6 linked regions of the Oryctolagus cuniculus genome follow. The protein of the gene in region 5 binds, or shares a complex with, the protein of the main gene of each other region. Links are inferred from orthologs where the notes say so. Each region holds a gene or a part of one and is shown on either strand. Other genes may lie near its edges. The genes, in order: POLR2H, UBTF, POLR1B, TAF1C, TAF1A and POLR1H.

The links.
Region 1: TAF1A (region 5) and POLR2H share a complex: the UniProt entries of both Homo sapiens proteins name them as parts of the pol I pre-initiation complex. The link is inferred for Oryctolagus cuniculus from reciprocal best matches to the Homo sapiens genes TAF1A and POLR2H.
Region 2: TAF1A (region 5) and UBTF share a complex: the UniProt entries of both Homo sapiens proteins name them as parts of the pol I pre-initiation complex. The link is inferred for Oryctolagus cuniculus from reciprocal best matches to the Homo sapiens genes TAF1A and UBTF.
Region 3: TAF1A (region 5) and POLR1B share a complex: the UniProt entries of both Homo sapiens proteins name them as parts of the pol I pre-initiation complex. The link is inferred for Oryctolagus cuniculus from reciprocal best matches to the Homo sapiens genes TAF1A and POLR1B.
Region 4: TAF1A (region 5) and TAF1C share a complex: the UniProt entries of both Homo sapiens proteins name them as parts of the transcription factor SL1/TIF-IB complex. The link is inferred for Oryctolagus cuniculus from reciprocal best matches to the Homo sapiens genes TAF1A and TAF1C.
Region 6: TAF1A (region 5) and POLR1H share a complex: the UniProt entries of both Homo sapiens proteins name them as parts of the pol I pre-initiation complex. The link is inferred for Oryctolagus cuniculus from reciprocal best matches to the Homo sapiens genes TAF1A and POLR1H.

What each region holds. Positions count from the first base shown.
Region 1 is NC_091435.1:93,932,008-93,936,031, forward strand, and holds the start of POLR2H (DNA-directed RNA polymerases I, II, and III subunit RPABC3), read left to right. Parts: upstream 1-1,224; 5' UTR 1,225-1,735; coding exon 1,736-1,808; intron 1,809-3,855; coding exon 3,856-3,939; intron 3,940-4,022; coding exon 4,023-4,024. UniProt on the Homo sapiens protein: DNA-dependent RNA polymerase catalyzes the transcription of DNA into RNA using the four ribonucleoside triphosphates as substrates.
Region 2 is NC_091448.1:19,038,515-19,042,758, forward strand, and holds the start of UBTF (nucleolar transcription factor 1), read left to right. Parts: upstream 1-1,444; 5' UTR 1,445-1,689; intron 1,690-2,253; exon of another isoform or gene 2,254-2,383; intron 2,384-2,702; exon of another isoform or gene 2,703-2,841; intron 2,842-3,904; coding exon of another isoform or gene 3,905-4,244. Other genes in the region: basic salivary proline-rich protein 2-like, read right to left, coding at 3,905-4,244. UniProt on the Homo sapiens protein: Recognizes the ribosomal RNA gene promoter and activates transcription mediated by RNA polymerase I (Pol I) through cooperative interactions with the transcription factor SL1/TIF-IB complex.
Region 3 is NC_091433.1:113,613,230-113,617,237, reverse strand, and holds the start of POLR1B (DNA-directed RNA polymerase I subunit RPA2), read right to left. Parts: upstream 2,801-4,008; 5' UTR 2,698-2,800; coding exon 2,521-2,697; intron 362-2,520; coding exon 194-361; intron 27-193; coding exon 1-26. UniProt on the Homo sapiens protein: Catalytic core component of RNA polymerase I (Pol I), a DNA-dependent RNA polymerase which synthesizes ribosomal RNA precursors using the four ribonucleoside triphosphates as substrates.
Region 4 is NC_091449.1:65,920,049-65,924,213, reverse strand, and holds the start of TAF1C (TATA box-binding protein-associated factor RNA polymerase I subunit C), read left to right. Parts: upstream 1-1,365; 5' UTR 1,366-1,532; intron 1,533-3,497; 5' UTR 3,498-3,498; coding exon 3,499-3,636; intron 3,637-4,165. UniProt on the Homo sapiens protein: Component of the transcription factor SL1/TIF-IB complex, which is involved in the assembly of the PIC (pre-initiation complex) during RNA polymerase I-dependent transcription.
Region 5 is NC_091444.1:36,937,653-36,939,810, forward strand, and holds part of TAF1A (TATA box-binding protein-associated factor RNA polymerase I subunit A), read right to left. Parts: intron 1,674-2,158; coding exon 1,519-1,673; intron 1-1,518. UniProt on the Homo sapiens protein: Component of the transcription factor SL1/TIF-IB complex, which is involved in the assembly of the PIC (pre-initiation complex) during RNA polymerase I-dependent transcription.
Region 6 is NC_091436.1:140,424,720-140,428,948, forward strand, and holds the start of POLR1H (DNA-directed RNA polymerase I subunit RPA12), read right to left. Parts: upstream 2,801-4,229; 5' UTR 2,611-2,800; exon of another isoform or gene 2,575-2,610; intron 2,491-2,574; 5' UTR 2,471-2,490; coding exon 2,335-2,470; intron 2,158-2,334; coding exon 2,057-2,157; intron 1,895-2,056; coding exon 1,785-1,894; intron 1-1,784. UniProt on the Homo sapiens protein: Core component of RNA polymerase I (Pol I), a DNA-dependent RNA polymerase which synthesizes ribosomal RNA precursors using the four ribonucleoside triphosphates as substrates. Can mediate Pol I proofreading of the nascent RNA transcript.

The sequences.
Region 1 (4,024 bases), on a different chromosome or scaffold from region 5:
CAGCGCCGGTCGGTCCCCGTCCGGTCCCCGCAGCCCGGGCGGCCGAGAGCAGAGTGCGGCGGGCCCCGGGCGGGCGCCGCTGGCACGGCCTCCCGCTCCCGTCCCCTCCTCGGCGGGCGGGCCGAGGGCGGTGCCCTCTGCGCTGCTCCGCCCGCCAGCCCATCCGGAGGGGCCGGCCTAGCCCGGCTAGGGTCTGCGACGGGGCCGCCTCCCAGGCTCCGGAGAGGCGGCAGGGGGCGCCTGGAACGCGCCTGCCGGCGGAGAAGGACTGAGAGGGGCGCCCGCGGCCGGGGCGGGGCAGGGCCACTGGCACGTGGAGCCGGTCCACAGCTCTCCGTGCAAGGCGGAGAGGGACCGGAGCCGCCGGGCGCTTAGGACTTCGGGCTCGGGGCTGCAGGGCTGCTAATTCGTGAGAGCAGCTGCCTTCTCTGCTGAGGACTGGAGGCCCAGGCGGGCCTGGAAAGGCCCCTCTGCGGGGGATTCGGAGGGCCATTCTGGGCTCCTGCCCTTGCTCGGGGCTAGCCTCAGGAGGTGCCCCTGCAATACCGGACCCGCCGGATTTTGCGGGCAAGGGGACTGGGAAAGAAAGGCCCGAGGGAAGGGAGTTCTAGTGCCTGGAAGGCAGGCGTCGGGGGTGGGGTGGGGTGGGCAGAGGTCGCTTCTCCTGGCAGGGCCCAAGGAAAACCCCAGGAGCTGCTGACGTCTCGCCGCCTTGGGGAAACGGCCTGCTGGGGTTTGGCTTTCTCTATCAGGGTCCGGGGAAGGAGAGAACAGAGGGTGGGGTGAGCACGGGGTGCACGGGCAGCGTTCGAGATAGCGAGCGCAGACGCGGCGTGCAGGAGGGCGGCAGGAGGCCAAGGAAGGGAGGTTGTGGGAGAAGGGGGCCAGCACCCGGGAGGAAGAGACAGGAAAGTGATCCAAGAGGAGGGCAGTGCTGGGGGAACACGCGGCACACGCTGAGGGGGCACTGCTAACGGGTAGGGCAGTGTGAGGGGATTTGTGGCAGGCGGAAGGAGCGAGCAGGGCCCAGGGGAAGAGGGCAGTGGTGGGGGGAGGGTGCAGCGCCAGAGGAGGGCAGTGCCAGCTTTCCTTTCCCCCGGAGTGATATCCTGGACGGCCCCGGCTCAGGTGACGTCCAGCAGGGCCGAGCCAGCCCCCGCCGACCTGGGGGCCCTCGGTGCCAGTTGAGGGACTAGGCATTACGTCCTGCTGGGCTAGCGCTCTGGGGGCGGAGTTTTGTTGCACCCGTCCCCGGCGCGGACTATGCCCTCGGGGGACACGAGGACCGGCAGGGTAGGGCTAGGGCCCGGCTTCTCTGGGGCAAAGATCAAGGTCTCGGCCTGGGTTAAGTCTCCAAGCATTCCAGGCTTCAGGGCCCGGACTCTGGAGAGGGCGAAGCGGAGCCCCAGCGGAGCGCGATAACCCGAGCCACCTCCGCCAGAGGTGGTGCTTGGGGCGTTCCCGCCCTGGGCGGAGTCACCTGGCTCGGAGACACGCCCTCAATGCGTGTTCCCTCGCCAGCAATCTATCGGGGCGGAAGTTGAGAATCCCCGAGGTGGAGGCGGCGGAAGTGGCTGCCGTACTGCAAGCTGGTGCGCATGCGCTTTCCTGCTGCTCTGCCGCCAGCGTTCAGGCGCCTTTTGCTCTAGTGTCTTCTTTTTCCACGCGAGAGTGGGCTAACTCGTAGTTGTGGTCTCGCTCCTCGCGTTTCCGCTGCTCTCGTGGCCCCCTCACGATGGCGGGCATCCTGTTTGAGGACATTTTCGATGTGAAAGACATTGACCCGGAAGGCAAGAAGTTTGACCGAGGTAGGTAAGGTGTGGGGTTTGGCCGAAGAAACTAACTTCCTCGGGACACACCCCTGGGCTCCGGCTCACGTGGCCTGCCCTTGCGGCAGGTCCTGATGTAGGGGCCTCTCCCAGGAGACCTTTTATGGATGAGAAAGCCGAGACGCCGAGCTCTCCCTGGCTGCACACACGCGGTGCCCAGTGCCATGGTGGTGGCAGGCTCCTGGACGTCTCTGCAGTCGCCTCTCACTTACACACATTTTGCCTTATTTAGTGCTCTCGAGAGTTCCCAGGAGGTAGGTGGTGCCTTCCTCTCCTCCTGGAGGGTAAGTTTGCCACCCAAGGCTGCACCGTGGTCAGTCTGACTTATGAGCCCGAATTCTTGTGTGGAGTCGAGTCTCCAGCTGATGTCAGACCCTCTGAGTTAACTGCGCGGTGCAGGCCAGGCGCCCGAGGTGTTTTTCAAGTCTCAGTTATTCAGTGAGATAATCCCCTTAGCATGGGAGAGGACACCTTTGGTTGAAGAAGTCCCTTGCCCAGACCCAGGTTCTAAATCACCCAGGTAGTGCCTAGAACTCTGTCTTTTGCTGCTAGAATATTTTGATTTGGGGGCAGGATTCCATTCATTTGCCATGCTTTTTTAAAAAATTATTATTATTTTTTAAAGATTAATTTTATTTATTTGAAAGAGAGAGAGGTAGAGACAGAGAAAGGTCTTCCATCCTTTGGTTCACTCCCCAGATGGCCACAACGGCTGGAGCTGTGCTGATCTGAAGCCAGGAGCCAGGAGCTTCTTCCAGGTCTCCCACACGGTGCAGGGGCCCAAGGACTTGGGCTATCCTCTACTGCTTTCCCAGGCCACAGCAGAGAGTTGGGTTGGAAGTGGAGCAGCCAGGATATGAACTGGCACCCATATGGGATGCCGGCGCCTTAGGTCAGGGCGTCAACCCACTGCGCCATAGTGCCAGCCCCAATTATTAATTTTTAAAGACTTATTTATTTATATGAAAGGCAGAATTACAGAGAGAGAGAGGGGTCTTTAATCCGTTGGTTCACTGCCCAGATGGCCACAATGGCCGGAGCTGCACTGATCTGAAGCCAGGCTCCTGGAGCTTCTTCCAGGTCTCCCACGTGGGTGCAGGGGCCCAAGGACCTGGGCCATCCTCTTCTGCTTTCCCGGGTGCATTAGCAGGGATTGGAAGTGGAGCAGCTGGGACTTGAACCGGCACCCATATGGGATGCCAGCACTGCAGGTGGGGCTTTGCCCACTAATCCACAATCGCTGGCCCCTGCCATGGTTTTTGTCCTCCATGCATATCTGGTTCTGAGCGAGCCTGCATTTCTCTCTCTCTCTCTCTCTTTTTTTTAAGGTTTGTTTTATTTATTTGAAAGACAGAGATAGGGAGAGACAGTGAAAGAGGTCTTCCATCCACTGCTTCACTCCCCAGGTGGCCTCAGTGCCTGGGGCTGGGTGAAGCCAAAGTGATCTGGGAGCTGGATCAGAAGCAAAGCAGCCTCTTCCAACTGGTGCTCTGATACAGAATGCCCACCTCGTACACAGCAGCTCTGCCCACTGCACTGCAGTGCCTGCACTTTTTTTTTTTTTTTTTTTTTTTTAAGATTTACTTACTTGTTTGAAAGGCAGAGTTACAGAGAGGCAGAGGCAGAGAGAAAGAGAGGTCTTCCATCTGCTGATTCATTCCCCCAAATGGTTGCAATGGCATGGGCTGGGCTGATCCGAAGCCAGGAGCTTCTTCCAGGTCTCCCACATGAGTGCAGGAGCCCAAGGACTTGGACCATCTTCTGCCTTCCCAGGCCATAGCAGAGAGCTGGATCAGAAGTAGAGCAGCAGGGACTCGAACCAGCACTCATTTGGGATGCCAGTGCTGCAGGTGGCGGCTTTACCCAATATGCCCTGTGCCTGCACTTCTGTGAGAGCACATAAGAGGCCAGTGGATGTAGATCAGGTTACATTAAATAGTCGATTGCCTGTAATTCCCAAACTGGGATCTGTCAGATCTGCCTTTGCCCTGGTAATTACATCGTCCGTCTCTCTGCTTCTCCCCAGTGTCTCGACTGCACTGTGAGAGCGAATCTTTCAAGATGGACCTCATCTTAGATGTAAACATTCAGATTTACCCTGTGGACCTGGGTAAGTATTGAACCCAGAGAATCAACAGAGGCTTCTTGCCGTCTCAGCTATTCTTTACGCCCAGATATTGCTGCTGTTTTCAGGT
Region 2 (4,244 bases), on a different chromosome or scaffold from region 5:
TTCACCGAATGCCAAGGCTCTGTGTGAAGGCATGCACCAGAAAACGAGAAGAGAGGAGGAGACGAACAGGCAAAGGGGGGCAGAGAGAAAGGGCCAAGGGCAAATTCCCTGGTGTGCTGGCCCACAGCCCAAGTCCTCGGCTCCTGACCGCACCAGAGCTGTGATGGGTGCGACCCAAGCCAGTCGCTCTCCAAATGGGAAGGGCGCCAGCAGTTCTGCTGCCCAAGGAATCAATAACAAGCATTCTTATGATTCACGTTCATCCTGCTTTATTCCGAAGCACTTTACCGAAAAGCCCCTTGACCCAGCCAAGAAGTTCAGGGCCAGGAGCCAAGACACCTGGACTCCAGACCTGCGTGTGGCAGATCTGGAACCTTCTTGGGGGTCTAGGTTTCTCCCATTGACCCTCGGATGCCTGGTGAGGCTGCTGTTGTCATTCCACAGATACGGAAACTAGGATCAGGTGGGGTTAAAACTTGCCCAAACACTCACACTATTAAAAAAAAAAGTTAGGACTTTTGATCCCAAAGCCTTTGTCAGAAATAGCAACTGGTTCCATGCCCCGATTTCGGTGCAGCCTGAGATGGCTTGATCCTGCATAAAATGTCCCCAGAGTGAATCAAAGGCAGATCAAGTGTGAGGGCCTGCAGGTGAACTGTGGAGGTCGGAGTGCTCTTTAACCAAAAAAATAAAAAAGAACCAACTACGGGATGCAAAGTCAAGTCCAAGGTCTTGCACAGGCCTTAAAGCTTCAACTTCATTCGCATGATGGTCAGTCTGCATCTTCCTCATGTCCTGCCCGCTAAAAACCCAGACACACCAGATCCCGGCGGCGCCCTCCTCCCGAGGCGAGAACCGTGGCAGGAGTCTTGGGAAAGGAATCTCATCTCTCCCAGGAGGCAGGAGGAATTACCGCGGCGGAGAGCCCGTGCGAGGAGGGAGGGAGGCTGCGCGCCAGCCAAGAGCCCACAGGGGCCCGGGGACGCAGCGGAACAAGACGCGGGCAGCGGCGGGGCCGGGGTGGGAGCCAGGCGTCATGGCGCTGTCCCGGACGAAGGGCCAAGCCGTGGGCCGGCCTGCCGCAAGCCAGCGCCCTCGGCTGTCCGCGGGCTCCCTGCGTCCTGCCCTGAGAACACTTCCCCGGAGCTAAGAAGGCAAAGTCGGACAACCCCGGCGCCGGCAGCGGAGGCCGAGGCCGGACGCTCTGCGCGGCCCGCGCGGCCCGGGTGCCGGGCGCCCCTCGCGGCTCCCCACCGCCGCCGGGGGGCAGCGCCCGCGGCCTGCTTTCCCCGGGCTGGTCGAGCCTTTTTGACAAGCTGATTGCGTGGCGGGGATTGGCTGGTCCGGGCGTGACGCCGGTAACAACAAAGGTGGAGTTGGAAGAAATTAGATTAAGGGAGAGGAGGAAAAAAAAAATTAAAGGGGGAGCTGGCAGGGGACAGGCGGCGGCGAGCGAGGGGGAGATGCGCGCGGCGCGGCCTCCGGTACCGACTGGGCCCCCGGAAGCCTCTCCGCGTAAGCCCGCCGGGACCTGGCTCTCGCTTCCCACCCCGGCCCACTTCCGAAGCCGGGTAGGAGAGACGGCTGCTGCTGCTTTGGAAACCTCCCAGCTCCCACCCTGCCACCCCTCACGACGACCCGAGGGGAGAACTTTTTGCTCGGACTCCACGTATCCTCAGCCCGGCGAAGGTGGGGGGGCGCTGGGAAGGAGGCTCGCTCCAAACCCGGGACGGCCCCGCGGGGCTCGGAGGTCGGGCGAGGAGCGCTGCCGCTCCGGTCTTCCGAGATGGCTCATCTAAGAGCTTCTTTCTGTCTTTTCTTTCTTTTTTTTTTTTTATAACACCCCCCCCCCTTTACTTCCCCCTCGCTTTGGCTTCAGGGTTGCAAAAGCAAAGAGCAATAAAAAAAAAAAAAAAAAAAGGAAAGAAAAAAGAAAAAGAAAAACCGCGCACACACTCAGACACACGCCAGTGGCGACAGGGGAGAGTTGGAAAGGCGCAGGAGAGAAGCAGGAGGCGGGCGGCGGCGGGGCCGGAGCCTTGGGAGCGGGGAGCGGGCAGGTTCCCTCGCAAAACCCCCTCCGCCCCACGGCGCCTCGCCGGCCCCGGCAGGGGAGCGAGGAGCCGGGCGAGCAGATGGAGGAGTGGAGCTCGCTCTAGGCAGCGGGCTTGGCCGGAGAATGGAGGAGCCGCCAAGCGACCGGCTGATTGGAAGAGAAACGCAGAGCGATGGAGGCGGGGGTAGGAGGACGATTTCTCTGCGGGGACTGGCGGCGGCGTACACGCCCGGGTCGGGCGCTGCAGAGCTTGGCTGGCTTTCAACCCGCGCTCGCCGGCTCCAGCCCCGCGCGCCCCCACCCCCGGCCCTCCCGGCGGCTCCGCAGGTGAGTGCGAGCTGGGGGCAAAAAGACCCAAAGTCTCCGCACTCCCGCCCTGCAAAAAAAAAAAAAAAAAAAAAAGAGGAAAAAAATTTTTTTCCTTTTTTTCCCCCCAATTTTCGCGCAGCCCCGAGAGCGGTGGGAGGGAAGGGGTGAGGCTGAGCCACCCGGAGGAGGCGGAGGGGCCAGGCGAGGCCGCGGTGGCCCGGGAGGCGGCGGCGCCGAGGCGGCTCTGACGGGCGAGCGCTCGGAGCGGCGCTGCGCTGCGCCGAGGCGGGCGGGCGGAGCGGGGCGGGCGGAGCGCGGCGCGTGGGGCTCGCCATTAGCCGTCGCTCCGCTTCGCCATCTCGGGCTTTGTCTGGCGACTCGCTGCCCCGGAGTCGGCTGCGGCGGAGCTGCGGCTCGGCTCTCCGGCCCGCCGCGCCCCCAGGTGTCCCCGGCCCGCGCTCCCATCCACACGCTCGGTAAGTGAGCCCCGGCGCCACGGATTTCGGGGGAGAGGGGTTGCTCCGAGCGGCCGCGCCGCCGATCTCCATGCGCCCAGGCAGGCCTGGGGAGCCATGCCGGGCTGGATTGAACCGGCTCCCACCGTGGCTCCTCGCCGCTTCCTGGGTGTAAGGAGCGAAGGGAATTTCTTTTTCCCCCTTGGCAAGGATATTTTGCTTTTCGAGTTTCGCGTGTGCCGTTCGGCGGCGAAGTAGGCGCCGAAGCTTGGCACCGCGATCGGCACCCCGAGCGAGTAGCCACGCTCTGGGGAAGGTGGGCGCGAACCGCCCGCGCCGGGAGGCGGGAGAGGGCCGGCTTGGAAGGCCGGATCTGGGCTGGGAGGCCGTGGAGGAGAGGTCCGGGGCTGCACTGCGGGCACCCCCGAGCCTCTTCGGCCGCCGGGGGGCCCTCCGGGCACCCTCTCCGCGGCCGCGCCTCGGCCCTCCCTCCCGCGCCGGCCGAGCCTGCTAGTTCCCCCGCGGGTCTGGCGAGGTCGCTCTCGGCGCCCGCCCGCCCGCCCGCCTCGGCTCCGAGCCCCGCCGCCATCCGGGCGGCTGCGTGTCTCCCTGCCCCGGCCCCCCCCCCTCCCCGGCGGCAGCAGCAGCAGCAGCCGCCGCCGCCGCCACCGCCACCACCACCACCACTACCACCACCCCCCTCCCCTCCTTCCTTCCCTCCGCCTCGGCCGCCCGGGTCCCCCCAGCTCCCGCCCCTCCTCCCAGCTGCCCCCCGCGGAGCCCGCCCGGGCAGGCTGTGGGAGGGAGCGGAGCCGGCGAGGCGGGCGGGCTGGCGCTCGCTCCCCGGGGGTCGGTGTGCGCTCTACGGGGAAGGACGCGCTCGCTGCCCCGCTTCTCCCGCCCCCCCTCCCGCTCCTCCTCCTCCCTTCTCCCTCCTCCTCCCCGCTCCGGCGGCGGAGGCTGCGGCGGCGGCGGGGGGTGTGCGAGCTGAGGCCGGGGCCGGCGGGCGGGCGGCGGGCGGGCTGCCTGCAGGCGGAGGGCGCTGTGCTTTGTGCTTTTCGCCGCGAGGAGCAGCAGGCAGCAGCTACAGCCGCCGCCGCCACAGCAGCAGCAGCAGCCGCCGCCCCAGCGCCGCCACCGCGCCCGGAGGAGGAGCCGCTGCCGCCGCGGGAGGGAGCTGCGGCTGTGCCCGGCCGAGCGGGGGAGGGCGCCGCCGCTCAGAGCCGGGGAGGGAGCCGCCGGAGCGGGAAGCCCGGAGGTCGCGCTGCGCCGGGTAACCGAGGCGGCTGAGGGCGCGCGCTGGGGGTCGGGGCCGGGGCGGCCAGGGAGAGACCCGCGGGAGCGGCGGACACCCCGGCGCAGACCCGGGGCGGCCTCCGAGCAGGGTCTGGACGCGAGCAGACCGGGGCACTGGGGAGGACGCC
Region 3 (4,008 bases), on a different chromosome or scaffold from region 5:
CCATTTACTGCCCAGCTGATATCAGCCTAGGTGAAAAAGAGAAAAACACTCTTAGGAAGCAGACTACATCGAATGACTTCATGCTTCAGGTTTCAAAGACGGGCGCTCTCAGACGCCAGCACCAAGAAGGCAGAATTCTGTATGAACCCCAGAAGCCATCCGCCCTGTGGGAGCCAGGCGCGGTCACACTCACCGTCAGCTTCCCACGGTAGGTGCTCCTTCGGCCCCGGCATTCTGCTGGGTACACGTTGAACTCTCTGCAGATGGTGCCCTTGGGAACCGTGGGGGGACTGATCACAGCGTCCACGATGGTAAGAGTGATGCGCTCATCTTTGAAAGCGAATTCAAAGGGAGCTATGGCCTGGAATACAATACGCATGATTACACGGCCTGCATTTCCAAGGCACTTTTTCTCTAGGACTCCTGCAAATCCCTGTGTTCCTTAAGCACTGAAGCCCGCAACGCCACCGTGACAAACAGAAGAGAGTTAAGACGACATGCGGTCCACTCTTCACTACGCACTTCAGGCTGCCACGCGTTAACTCGGGGTTGTTCTGTCTGCCATGAGCAGAGCGAGGAGGCTCTCAGGATACAGCTGGCACCAGGCCAACGCGCCTGCTCTCTGACCCCAGCGCCGACCTTCTCCAGTCTGACCCTGCTCAGACAGCAAGGAGAGGGAAGCCTCCTTCCGACTGGGCTCACACTGGCAGCCCACCAGACACAAACAACCCTCCGGCTTAGTGTTAGAATGACAGGAACACGGACGGCGGAGCCGACTAAGAATACACAGGCCATCCGCCCTCATGTGAATTCAACCCAGCTTTTCTCAGTTTTATCTAAGACTGATGGTACTTTAGAACTGAAATGTTAAATATATTTCATGTCTAAGGGATGTAGTGTCAAAACAGGGAGAGGCAATTAGAAGATCTGCTTCGGGGCCGGTGCTGTGGCTCACTTGGCTAATCCTCCGCCTGTGGCACTGGCATCCCATATGGGCTCTGGATTCCAGTCCCAGTTGCCCCTCTTCCAGGCCAGCTCTCTGCTGTGGCCTGGGAGGGCAGTGGAGGATGGCCCAAGTGCATGGGCCCTGCACCCGCATGGGAGACCAGGAAGAGACACCTGGCTCCTGGCTTCAGATCGGCGCAGCGCCGGCCGTAGCGGCCACTTGGGGAGTGAACCAATGGAAGAAAGACCTTTCTCTCTATCTCTCTCTCTCTCACTGTCTATAACTCTACCTGTCAAATAAATTAAAAAAAAAAAAAGAAGAAGAAGAAGAAGAGGAAGATCTGCTTCTCCAGCTCCTGGCTCCGGTCTGGCCCAGCCCCAGGTGTTGCAGCCATTTGGGGGGTGTACCAGTGGATGGAAGACTCTCTCTCTCCTCCCCTCCCCAACTCTGTTACTCTGCCTCTCACATAAATAAATCTTAAAAAAAAAAAAAAAAAAAAAAAAAAAAAGACTCACTCGTGCAAGCCACAGCTGCACTCTCGGCAGGTAAACGCCGCTGAGCCTTGACGCTCACGTTAGTGAAATTCTTTAAAGTTACCGCAAACGCTGACCCACGCTCCGGGGAAACACGAAGTCAAGTCCCTGAGAGCCTCTGTCACAGCTTGCCATCAGCCGATCAGTACAGAACCTCGCCCTACCTGTTCCTGTTAAAGGGCGCCTCACTTGATAGACGGCTGAGCAGCGGGCGTTCAGCTTAGCACTTATGATGCCCACATTCCACCCTGGAGCGCCTGCACCTGCGTCCCAACTCTGACTCCGCTTTCCTGCGAATGCAGACCCCGAGAGGCAGCGGTGATGATCAAGCAGTTGGTCCCTGCCTTGGCCCAGCCCCTGCTGCTGCGGGCATTTGGGGTGGCGAACCAGTGGGCAAGAGCTCCCTCTCTCTTCCTCTCATATAAATAAATAATAAATTTAACAGCAGAATGGTCTGAATGAAGCTTACCTAACGTGTATTTTCATCACAGCTTTCCTGTGCCCAGCAACAACACAAAGTACTTCAATGTATGTTTTCAGGCACTATTTCAAGTTGCAAAATTATCAACAAACAGTACAAAAATGTGAAAAAGGCTGCACCAGACAGCAAAAAGAACAGGTGTTTATGTCTGAGAACTGAAATCGAGAGGCAGAACACTGTCTTATTGGATCTCAGCTGGGAACGCGCGCATCGGGCAACTCAAATGTTTGCTGTTCTACGCACGGAAAGTCACAAGTAAATTTTAGTGAGTAAATGAATCTGTGAATTAGGAATCCCCGAAGGATGAAACTAGTTGTGTTCTGAAAAAATCCACATGATGCACACATGAATTCTGAGCCGCAGAATCGAAGGATCCACTCCACAGAAGCTAAGCAAAACCGGAGCCTCCCCGGCGCCTCGCCGGGACCCCGTCGCCCGCCCGCCTGCGGGACCTTCTCCCCCACGAGCCCCCAGCCTCATGCACCCTGCCCAGCCCCCTCCTCCGCCAGCCTGCCGGCGCACACAGCCCTCCGAGGCGCCGGGGGAGGCACCGCGCTCACCTGCACCGCGTGGCCGAGCCCCTCGCGCACCGCGTAGTTGAACGACTCCACGTGCGCCCGCGTCAGCTCCTGCAAGGCCGCCTTTTGCTGCTCCCGCGGGATCCCGTAAGAGGGGTCGGTCAAGTGCTTTAGGCTAGGCCCGCTGGGCAGGGTCCGCCACCGGCCAACCGGATCCATGTGTCCGCCGGAGCACCGAGAAGCCAGCGGCAGCGCGCCACACGCAGGAGTCGCTGCCGGAATCCCGGCGCCCGCGGCCTGCTGGGAAATGTAGTTTCTTCATGTTCCGCCCGCCTTCGGCCCTCCGGTGTTATAGGGTCGACTTGGAACCAAAACCATGGAGCGAATGGACCGGTTAGAACTGTACAGAACTAGAACAGGGCGAGAGCGCACCTTCAACTCTCTTCCGCCCCACTCAAATCCTTCCTTCCTCCGCCCCCAAATACCGGAAGTGAAGCTTGCTGCAAGCCCAATTTAGCTGGTAACCTCTTTGGTCCTTCTCGCTCAGTAAGGATCGCCGGAGAGCGGACTTGGGGAGACACTCAGCTCGAGTTGTGGCTTCAAGGAGAGCGCGGTCTTGTATTGAGTTCCGGGCTCTAAGCTTTGCCCCTGGCCCAGCCCTGGCTGTTCCAGACATTTGGTAGTGAACCAGCAGATGGGAGCTCTGTGTCTGACCGTCTGCCTTTCCAATAAAACATGTTCTTCCGCTTTAAAAAAAAAATATTTATTTGAAAGAGAGCGAAAAAGAGATCTTCTGTCAGTTGGTTCACTCCCTAAATGGCTGCAACCCAGGCCACCGTCAGGAGCCCAGAACTGTTTTGTTTTTTGGTTCTTTTAAAAAATGTATTTATTTTATTTGAAAGGCAGAGTTACAGAGAGGGAGAAAAAGAGATCTTCCACTTGCTGGTTACAGAGAAAGGGGGAGAGAGGTCTTACTTCCAATGATTCATTCCCCAGATGGCCACAGTGGCCAGAGCTGTGTTGATCCAAAGCCAGGAGCCAGGAGCTTCTTCCGGGTCTCCCATGCAGGTGCAGGGGCCCAAGGACTTGGGCCATCTTCCACTGCTTTCCCAGGCCATAGCAGAGAGCTGGATCAGAAGTGGGACAGCCAGGACTTGAACCAGCACCCATTTAGGATGCTGGCCCCACAGACAGAGGCGTAACCTACTACACCATAGCACCAGCCTGGAGTCCAGGACTCTTTATCTGGGTCTCCTGTGTGGGTGGCAGGGTCCCAAGCACTTGGGCCATCTTCCACTGCTCTCCCAGGCACATTAGCAGGGAGCTGGATTGGAAGTGGAGCAGCCAGGACACAAACTGTTGCTCATATGGGTTGCAGTGTGGCTTAACCCACTGTGCTATAATAGACAGCCTCTGTTCTTCCATTTTAAAAAATGAAACCCATTGTGTGTATTGTATTTTTATTTATCTATTTAGCTAGTTGGTAGACATTTGGGTTGTTTCCACTGTTTGGCTATTACAAATAATGCT
Region 4 (4,165 bases), on a different chromosome or scaffold from region 5:
GCTGGATCAGAAGTGGGGCAGCTGGGACTTGAACCCGGTGCCCATAGCTCTCTGCTATGACCAGGAAAGCAGTGGAAGGTGGCCCAAGCGCTTGGGTCCCTGAGCCCATGTGGGAGACCCGAAGAAGTTCCTGGCCTCAGTCTGGCCCATCCGTGTCCGTTGCGGCCATTTGGGGGAGTGAACTAATAAATCTGAAAATAAAATACTATAAAAAATGCGTAGGAATAACTTCAACATAAAAGCAAAATAATTTGTCCACACACACACACAAATCCATGCATAGTTTTTTCACAGGACACGTTTTCTGAGGGCTTTTGAGAACCTGGGAATCGATTGTTCAAAGCAGTGTTTCCGTAGGTGTAGTCCCTGGGCCGGCACCATCATCATCGTCACCTGGATCTGTTGGAAAGGCACCAGACCCAATGGATGAGAAACTTGGGGGCAGCCGGCCAGCCACCCAACAAGGCCTCCAGGTGAGCCTGATGCACGCTGGGGGGGAGACCCACGGGGGAGGGTGATGGGCTCAGACTTGTGACTGACGGTGATTGTCCAAGCAAGGCCCCACGGCACCTGGGAACCCACGGGCAAGGTTACCAGACCCAGCCACCAACTGTACTGAAGTGCACCCCAGCTGCCGCCCTGCAGTGTGAGTACGGCTGCCTGAGGCCGTCCCTGCCCGACCGGCCCTGGGAAAGCCTCAGGTACTCCCGGGGCACTCAGACGAGGATTTAAGGACAATCGGCAGGACACCTGCTGACCCAGACGGGGCCCGATGCGTAGTAGGTGCTCGTGTTTGCTGAGCTGATGGACTAACCCTGGGACACAGGGAGCCCATGGGCTGGCGCTGTGGCCTAGCAGGTAAAACCTCTGCTTTCCATGCCACCTTCCCCCTATGGGCACAGGTTCAAACCCCGGCTGCTCCTCTTCCCATCCAGCTCCCTGCTAATGCACCTGGGAAGGCAGCAGAAGATGGCCCAAGTCCTTGGGCCTCTGAACCCACATGGGAGACCCGGAAGAAGCTCCTGGTTTTGGCCTGGCGCCATCACAGCCATTGCAACCAACTGGGAGTGACCCTGAAGATAGAAGACCTTTCTCTCTTCCTCTCTCTCTGTAACTCTGCCTTTCAAATAAACAAATCTGGAAGGAAGGAAGGAAGGTAGAGAGAGGGAGAAAGAAAGGCAGACAGACAGAGGAAGTCTATGAAGCAGAGGCGGGATTCGAACTCCACTCATCTTAGTATCCAGGATTGAGGCTCCATAGGGTTTTAGTATTTTCAATGCAGTGCGCTGTTCCCTCTCCTCCCGAGAGGTGGTGCTCTAGAGCGCGCATGGAGCCGGGCCGGGAGGCGGGACTTCCTGTCTCCCTGGGAACACTTCCGCCCAGACCCGGAAGACCGTTCATTCCTCTGTGTGGCGGGTCCCGGCGTGAGCGCGGTAGCTGGAGCGACGCTTTCGGGTTCTCTCGCGGCGGGAGGGTCTGGCGAGCGTCGCGCGGCGCCCCGTTTCCCGGGCACCCCGCCCCAGCTGAGCCACGTAAGTGTGTGCGCGCAGGCCCGGGGTGTCGGGGGGCCGGGGCCGCGCCGGCGAGTGAGGGGAGGGGCGTCCGGCTCCCACCGCCGCGGCGGCCTGGGCTCTGCGGTGCCCTCCTGGCGTTCCTGCAGGCCCGGCGGGGCGGGAGGCCGGCGGGCAGCGCGCGGGGGCCCGGCGGGGGCCTGGCGGGGGCCTGGCGGGGGTCGTGGGCGCCCTCGGGCTGCCCGGGCTTGTCTGGCGCCGCGCGGCTCCTCTCGCCCCCGCTTGTTCTCGGCTCTGTGTGCGATGTTGTGGGTATGCCCTAGGCGCTGGAGTGAGAGCCTGCCTTCCCTGGGAGCTGTGGGAGGCTCATCTTGTTTATTTGAAAGTTAGAGAAGTCCCCATCCGCTGGTTCTCTCCCCGGACGGCTGCAGCAGCCAGGCCTGGGCCGATCGGCAGCCGGGAGCTTCCTGCGGGTCTCGACCCACGTGGGTGCAGGGCCCAAGGACTGGGGCCATCTCCCACAGCGTTCCCAGGGGCACGAGCAGGGAACTGGATTGGAAGTGGCGCAGCCGGGACACGAACCGGCGCCCCCGTGGGATGCCAGCATCGCAGGGGGCGGTTTTACCGCTCGCCACACCTACCCGAGCATCCTTACGTATCTGCCACAGGCTGCTACCCGCTCTGGCAGGACAGCGGGTGTTTGGGGGAGAACAGAATTGAAGGGGTTAAGGGAGGCTCCTGGACTGGAAATCCAGGCTTTTGAGGTGGGGAGGGCGGGCCCTGGCGCGCAGTTGGAGAGGGGATGTGCAAAGGCCCTGTGGTGAGGCAGAGCCTTAAGGAGTGTGGTTGGAGCCCAGGCACCAGACATGAGCAGGAGGCTTCTCTGTGTGTGACCCTTGACCCGTCAGGGATACAGCCCCTCCCCCTCCCCGGGAGGCCTGGGGGCTTGGTGCCTGCAGTGGGTGCCTCCACCGTTCCCGCCACTGGCGGCTCCTGTCCCCAAACAGTGACGGTGGCAACAGACCCAGCACCTGCCCTCGGAGACGCCCATGCCGGTGCCCGGATAAACAGTGGGGCCGGCACAGGCCCCGAGGAACAGCTGTTCATTCCACGGGCAAGGGTTCCCCAGCGCTGCGCGGCGGGCCGTGTGCGCGGTGCTGAGGGTGCCTGGCCGCCCCGGGGCGCGCGGTGAACTGATGAAGCCCGCTGGGAGTTGGTCTGCAGGAAGGGGTTCCTGCCAAGGCCCCGTGCCGGCGTTTGCTCCTGGGCGCCGGAGAGTGAGGCGCAGAGCTGCGGCGTGGCTCCGGCGCTCGGGCAGCTGCTGGCCTGAGCGGGTCCCCGCGCCCGGACACGGACGAGGGAGGGGCCTGGCGCCACGTGTGCAGCCGCGGGCCCAGGTGTGGGGGCGCTGCTCTCGCTGTGGTGCTGTGTTCATTAAGAGAGGGCTGAGGTGGCGGCTGCTGCTTTGGGAACCTTGGCCTCTCAAAGCCCTTTGCCACGGACTTGCTCTCGGTCAACGCGTAGTACGCGCCCGGGAGGCGCCGGGGGCGGCTGCTGGGCTCGGTCCTGGCGTAGTCCTGGGACTGAGCCGAAGGGGAGGCGTCTGCAGGTGTGTGACCGGAGGCCCAAGGGCGTCTAGCAGCCGGCCCGCTCCTCCTCCTTCGTCCGCTCGCCAAGGTGTCCCTCAGACAGTGCCCAGGGCCCCTGGCAGCTCTCCGCAGGCTGCCTCCCTCCCTGGGGTCAGGCTCTGTCGCTGGCCTCAGGAGGCTCACCTGGCTGCGGGCACGCCCCTCCTCCGGGCCGGGAGGCTGGTTGTCCACCGTCCGGTAAGGCACGTAGCCCTCCTCGGGCCAGGGCTGCACGCGCGCTTGCTCTGTGTCACCTGGTCCTCCCCGGGGAGCCCGGAGGCCGGTGCCTCCTGGGCCGCGCCGGTCCTGGCCAGTGCCGGGTGCAGGTCTGCTGCGAAGGCCGGCGCTTCTTTTCCAGGATGGACTTCCCCGGCTGCCTCCGCCCCACCTCGTTTACCACCGGCCCCCTGGGGCTGAGCGACGGCCCCGACCTGTCGTTCATGTGCAGCTGGAGAGACGCGCTGACCCTGCCGGAGCCCCAGCCCCAGGACGCCAAGGTGAGGAGGGGCAGGAGACAGCCGGGACTCTGGCCGGGTCCTCGGAGTCCCGAGCTGGCTGGTGGGGCTGAGCCCTCGGGGGCTCATCGGTCAGGAGAGACGGTGTAGCAGGGCAGGCTCAGGGTGGCCCCCTGCGAGGGCCCCTCCCCCTACCGAGTGTCTGTGCTGAGCTGTCTCGGGCTGGCGGGCGGCGGAGGGTCCTCTGGGGCTCCCGGAGCAGGTGACGAGGTCTCCTGAGCGGAGGGCAGAGGAAGCGGGACTCGGAGCGGCCGGTGCGGAAGGGGGCTTCCCTGCTGGGTCAGGGTCACAGGCGCGCAGTCTAGAGCCGGCTGTTGGCCTCCACGTCCCCGCTCCTCGCCGCGCTGACAGCTGGGCTCCCTGTGGCTCCGTCTCTTCAGTGAAGCCATGTCGGAGCTCCCGCTGACTGCAGGGTGGTCGTGAGGGCGGACCGAGGCGCTCGGAGACTGGCGTTGCGCAGGGCCTGGCCAGGGGCGCGCTCTGCTCACGTGGCGCACTCTGGTTGTGTCCC
Region 5 (2,158 bases):
CAAAAAAAAAAAAAAAAAAAAAAAAAAAAAGCCCAATAAACTACAAAATTTTAACTTGTCTTAAGTCTACTAGAGAACTAAAGTCACAGGACAATCAAGAAGCCAGAATTCAAGGAGCAAAGGTCCCTTCAAGGAGAACCAGGCCTGGCTTGCCTTTAGCAGAGTTGGGGAAGAAAGGCAGGCACAAAGCAAAGGCAGACTACAACTATAATCTGAATTTGCTGAATGACAGGAACCAGAGCAAGCAGAGAACTCAGCTCAACTCCTAAGCAGGGTGACCCACCCATGCAGGAACACCCTGACAGAAAAGATGTGTCTACTTTCAGGCATGAAGATGCCTGACAGTCATGAGACACTTTAGATTTATTAGGCACTTTGATGCAACCTTCACTTAATGGCCACAACAATGCTGTGAGCAAATGAGGATAGGTGTTCTGATGCCCACTTCACAGAGAAGTTTCCCAAACGGTCTCTGACCTAAGTTACGCAGCAAGTGAACCTAAGTCATTGGACATTGTATAGACACTAAAACCTGCAGTTACCTGTACTAGACAATTCTATACTCACAAAGTAGCAGAAATTAACAGTCCAAATCACACTTCTGTTCCTTACCATCAGTGTATCAGAGAGCAATTTTTAAGTTACTGACCAGTTTAATAATTCCTTTCTTCCATAAAGCAACATTTTTCCTAATCCTAGTAACTAACTGAAACAGTCACTGAGAACACTAATTCCAAAATAATACAAACCATACCCAAAAGCGAGCTAAAGAATCTCTCTCAGATAATATATGAGAAATATATAAAAATATCTTTTTTGTAGCTATTTAAACACCAAATAAATACAATCAATAACTATCTACTGAAATACTCCCCTATCGCAGATGGCTTTCTAGTGGCCATTGTCTGGTTTACTTTCCTCATTTCTGAACAGATTTTGCAGTAGCTTCATTTTAGTACTTGGCTATCTTCATATTTCAGTGGCACAAAGCAGGTCACAGTTTTATCAGCCAAAATGTTCCATAAAGAAAAGATCAACTTCTTTTAAGAGGTATTCTTTCTCTGAAGGGGAGAAAATATTTCCTCCTTACAGGAACAGGTAAGTAAACACCATATAGTCCTACCGGATAACAATGAAGTCAATAAAGACCATTTTTGTGTTTTCAATAAAGTAGGCAATCTCAGTAAACTTTCTATACAGCAGGTCAAATGGTCACTCTGTGGAAATAGGATGCATCGAGCATCTTAATGCCCCTAACAGCACTCAAGGCAGACCATGGAGACACCCACCATCAACGGCGTGAAATCTCTATTCCTATCCCACAGAGGCTCCTTACAAGCACACTGCCTGTCCCAATTCAGGACTCATTCTTCCAATCTATAATAGTTACTTCCTAAACATCTAGTATCTATCCTTAGGCAGCTACTAGGCAAACTCTAAGATGAATGGTGGTCATACTACATGATTTCAAAATCAGCCAAAGCACTGTCTAGATAAAAAGAACACAAAAATGTGTACCTTTTCCTAACAGTATTCCAGCTACAAAAGCTTTCTCACAGGCCAAAGCTGTGTCTTCTTTCCAATCACTTTTTGCCCAAAAGAAGCTGAAGTGAAAGCCTGGCCACCAGTTTTTCCTGGAATTCCACTCTTCTTGAACCCATGCAAGATGATTCCTGAAAAAGATGTCAAAAGGCAAAGTCAGTCATGGCCATGGGAATAGATCTATACTGTCAGAGTTTACATTTACCTGGAGTCTAAGCAAAGATGACAAGGGGATATTTTCAAACTAACTTCTGAGCTTGGTCATGACATAGCACAGGATGGGCAGTAGCATGAAAGCAAATCCTTCTTTGTTCTCTGTGATCCCCACATCTCATCTTCAATTATAGCAGAGTGGTTAACAGCATAGAATCCTGGATTCAAATCTCAGACCTTCCAGTTATGACCAACGCGACCCTGGGCTGGTTGCTGAACCTGTTCTATGGACCTCAATTTTCTTAAGGGTAATACAATTAATGATACCTATCTCCCAGCACTGTTACTAGGATTAAACTGGCACAGTAGTTTAAAGAACTACTAGCTGCATAATGTCTACTACATAGTAAATATCCCCAAAATGTCAGCTATCATTACTACTTAAAAGCTACTTTAGGAGAGG
Region 6 (4,229 bases), on a different chromosome or scaffold from region 5:
GAAAAAAAAGACTTGTTACACTGGATCAGAGGAGTTCCCAGCAATGTAAGATGAAATATTCCAACATTCAAAGGGCCTTTTATTTATGATACTGTGGAGACCTGGCTCCCCTAAATAAATCCTCCAACAACTGAAAATGCTGGGATTAAAAATAAATCAGATGAATTAAGACAAAGTATGCAAAGATGTCTTAGAACACAAAAGGCACTAGCCATGAAAGAAAAAAAGAATGTTTAACTGGACCTTATAAATATTAAAAACTGCTCATATAGGAAAGATATATGACCATAAATATTTTTAATCCACTGGTAAATTCCAAGAAAGGAAAGGCCATCTTCACACTGATAAATCCAGACAGGTAAGTTAAAACTGAAGCCCCTACTACTATGGTGTAAACATGTTTGATATATCTAATACACATTTAAAAAATAAAAAGAGATTTAAAATACAATTAAGGAACTGAGAAGTAAAAAATGATTGATGGGCCACCACCACTGTGGAGTAGCAAGTAAAGCTGCTGCCTGCAGAGCCGGCATCCCAGATGGGCGCCGCTTCGAGTCCCAGCTGCTCCACTTCCGATCCAGCTTTCTGCTATGGCAAAGGGAAAAAAAAAAGCAGTAGAAGGCCTAAGTACTTGGACTCCTGCACCTACGTGGGAGACAAGGAAGAGGCTCCTGGCTCCTGGCTTCGGATTGGCCCAGCTCTGGCTGTGGCAGCCATTTGGGGAGTGAACCAATGATGAAAGACTTCTCTCTGGCTCTGCCTCTCTATAACTCTGCCTTTTGAATAAATTTTTAGACAGGGTGAGGAAAATGGGAGGATGAGGAGAAAGTATAATAAACAATTAGAACTCCAGTATGTGAGAATTAAAAACATGGGAGAAAGACAGTATTAAATGAGATAATGGCTGGTAATTTTTCAAAGTTAATGAGAAATACATCAATTCTCATTTCAGAAAGTCCAATAAAATTCCAAACAGGATAAACAAAAGCGAGCTACATTTTGATATATCCTTTATTTTTTTTTTAAAAAAATTTGATTGAAAGGCAGATTTACAGAGAGGGAGATACAAGAGCAGGGGACTGGAAATGGGAGAGGGAGGAGGTGGGCTGGGAGTGGGGTGGGTATGGTGGGAAGAATCACTATATTCCTGCAGCTGTACTTACGAAATTTGTACTTATCAAATAAAAGATTTCCTTGGGGGGAAAAGAAATGAGGGAGAGACAGAGAGATCATCCACTGGTTCACTCCCCAAATGGCAGCAATACTGGGGCTGGACCAGGAGGAAGCCGGGAGTCAGGAGCTTCTTCCAGGTCTCCCACGTCGGTGCAGGGGCCCTAGAACTTGGGCCATCTTCTACTGCTTTCCCAGGCACATTCGCTGGGAGCGGGACTGGAAGTTCAGCAGTCAGGACATGAACCCAGGCTGGTGTCCCAGGCGGCAGCTTAACCTGCTCCTCCGCCACAGCGCCGGCCCACAACACTCTGATATATTCTAGTGGAACCAGAACACTAAATTCTGCAAACCATTCAGAAAGCTGCTGTTCTTTAAATCCCGTGTGACTAATTCTTACCATGGTCAAGCTACCTTGGCTGCAGTGAACAACTCCAGCCTTCTCTTGTTTTTTAATGAAAAAACAAAATAGTAAACGGTTGAGTTCACTGGATATACAAAAGACAAGTATTTCCTATTAGGGATGGAATCATGGAAGCAAGTGTGTGGTACAAGAATACGCCACTGAACATGTCAAGTGCGCAGACAGAGGGAGGGGAGCGGAGACCCACTTGCAGCTGGTGCAGGTGTAGAAGACGGTCTGCCCCTCGTCGGCTGAGCGCATCTGCCGGGTGTGGTACGCCATTCCCTCGTGGCCACAGCGAGAGCAGCGCCTGTCAACCTGGCCGGGAAGGGGTGCGTTAGGAGGCGGGGGCGCGCCCCTCACTTCCCAGGCTCTCCGCCTTCCTGGAAGTCGGTGCAACACTCTGCGGACCCCGCACTCGCCCCTCCGCTTCCTCTCCACGCCCCTCTCTGCAGCCAGCCCTCCATCTCAGTAACTCACCACGGGTCCCTGGAACTCGGGCCCTTCCTCCGCCGACGCAGGCACGGCTGCCCCCAGCTTGTGGAACACAAAGGAAGTCTGCACGACCTTCCCTTCGAAGTCTGCACGGGGCAGCAAGAAGCGGCTGTGGAGGCCAGCGGAGGGCGCGGACGGCCGCCTCGCCCCCGCCAGGCCTGCCTGCCTCCCTCAGGGTTCTTCCGCAGACCAGACGTCCAGGCGCCCGCTCTAAGGCTCTCCCTCCCCGGTCTCCAAACCGCGCACCGGCCCCCGCCCCTCACCCCGCACGTGGATGGAGAAGCCACAGCGAGTACAGACGACCGTATCCTGAGCTCCGGGCAGGGGCAGGACCGAGCCGCAATCCGGACAGAAATCCAAGTCCGACTGAAAGCTGGGGCAGGTGCTGGCGCCGTCCATGACGGACACGCGACGGAATGCTGGAAAGGGAACGACCAGTTCGTTAGGACACCAGAGAGCCGCACCCTCCCCACGCAGGGGGCCTCCCTTGTCTGCCCCAGCACCTAGGCACAGATAACCCGACCCCTCCTCCCACGTACGTCTCCGGCCTCGGCCACCAAGCAACCAGCCGGCGACGCGGAACCCCGCCAGGGCAGGCGAGAGGGGCCGGGTAGCGCGGGCTAGAGCGCCGGCCGTGCGCAAGCGGCGGGGCAGCGAGCGCGCCGAGGGCTAGAGCGCCGACGCGTCCGGGCGCACAATTTGCTGTGACGTCACTATTCCTCGCGCGCCACAGCGGGGGGTTTAGGGCGGGCAGACGGGCTGGGAGCGCGTTTTGCTGCGTCACTTGCCGTTTGGTCTCGTGGTGGTGGACCGGAAGGCGAGTCGCTGGCACTGCGCCTCCGGCTCCTTTTCCCACCTGGACACAGTAGTGGGGTATTCCTCTTCCTTGTCTCGCATCTGACTCACTGGCTTCCCACTCACGGGGGCCCCCAGAAAACAAGAGTTCGTTGGATTAGAAAAGTACAGGTCCCGCCGTTCCCAGCGGCCCTTTTTTCGCGGAGCAGAGGGTGTAGCTAAGCGTGCTGAGACTCGCTGGGCTCCGCTGGCCGGACGGGAAAGACGGAAGGGGCACGCCTGGGAGGGGGCCGAGGCCTTCGGAGGGGGTCATACACCACAGGGACCCTGGGCCGAGGACCTCGGAGGGCATCAGACACCACAGGGACCTGGCGTTAGGCCGGGGACGCCTGTAGGCAGGGGTTGCTAAGACCTGGGTCGAGTTTGGCTTTCAGTCTTCCACTTGGTCCCTCACCTCCAGTCGTGGTCATCCAGTCGGTGGTTAATTGAGTTGCTCCTTGTTTATAAAACATGAGAATAAGGATCTTTAGAAGACCTCACCATTTTCACGCGTCAGTAGCTTAGACTTGACCTGAAGAAACAGTTTCTATACGAGTTTCCTGGTTCTAGCCCTCCCACCACCATCCAGTTGTAGCTGTTGTGGGGCTCCTGCGTGTGCAAGCTCTGGAGCCATCTCTTTTCTAAAGGACAGATGTGAATTTACTTGGGAGAGAGGCACCTGTCTGTCTTTCCCTGCCATAAAGGAAAGACAACCCTAGTAAAAAGTTAGGAAATGCTGGGGAAATCACAAGCCCCTAATATCACTTAACCATGAAATCGGATGTCATTTTATTTATTTATTTTATTTTATTTTTTTTGACAGGCAGAGTGGACAGTGAGAGAGAGACAGAGAGAAAGGTCTTCCTTTTGCTGTTGGTTCACCCTCCAATGGCCGCCGCAGCCAGCGCGTTGTGGCCAGTGCACCACGCTGATCTGATGGCAGGAGCCAGGTACTTCTCCTGGTCTCCCATGGGGTGCAGGGCCCAAGCACTTGGGCCATCCTCCACTGCACTCCCTGGCCACAGCAGAGAGCTGGCCTGGAAGAGGGGCAACCGGGACAGAATCCAGCGACCTGACCGGGACTAAAACCCGGTGTGCTGACGCCGCAAGGCAGAGGATTAGCTTAGTGAGCCATGGCGCCGGCCATTTTATCTGTCTTAACAGATGGAAGTCTGTTGCTGAAGTTATGATGGTAGACACTTTATTCTCACTTCTCTGTCTCCTTTGAAAACAGGTACTGAAATTATCCCTACATCCTTCTCAGCTTTCCCTTATTAACTTGACATTCAAACCAACCAAAGCTCACATTACAGTCAATAAGTAT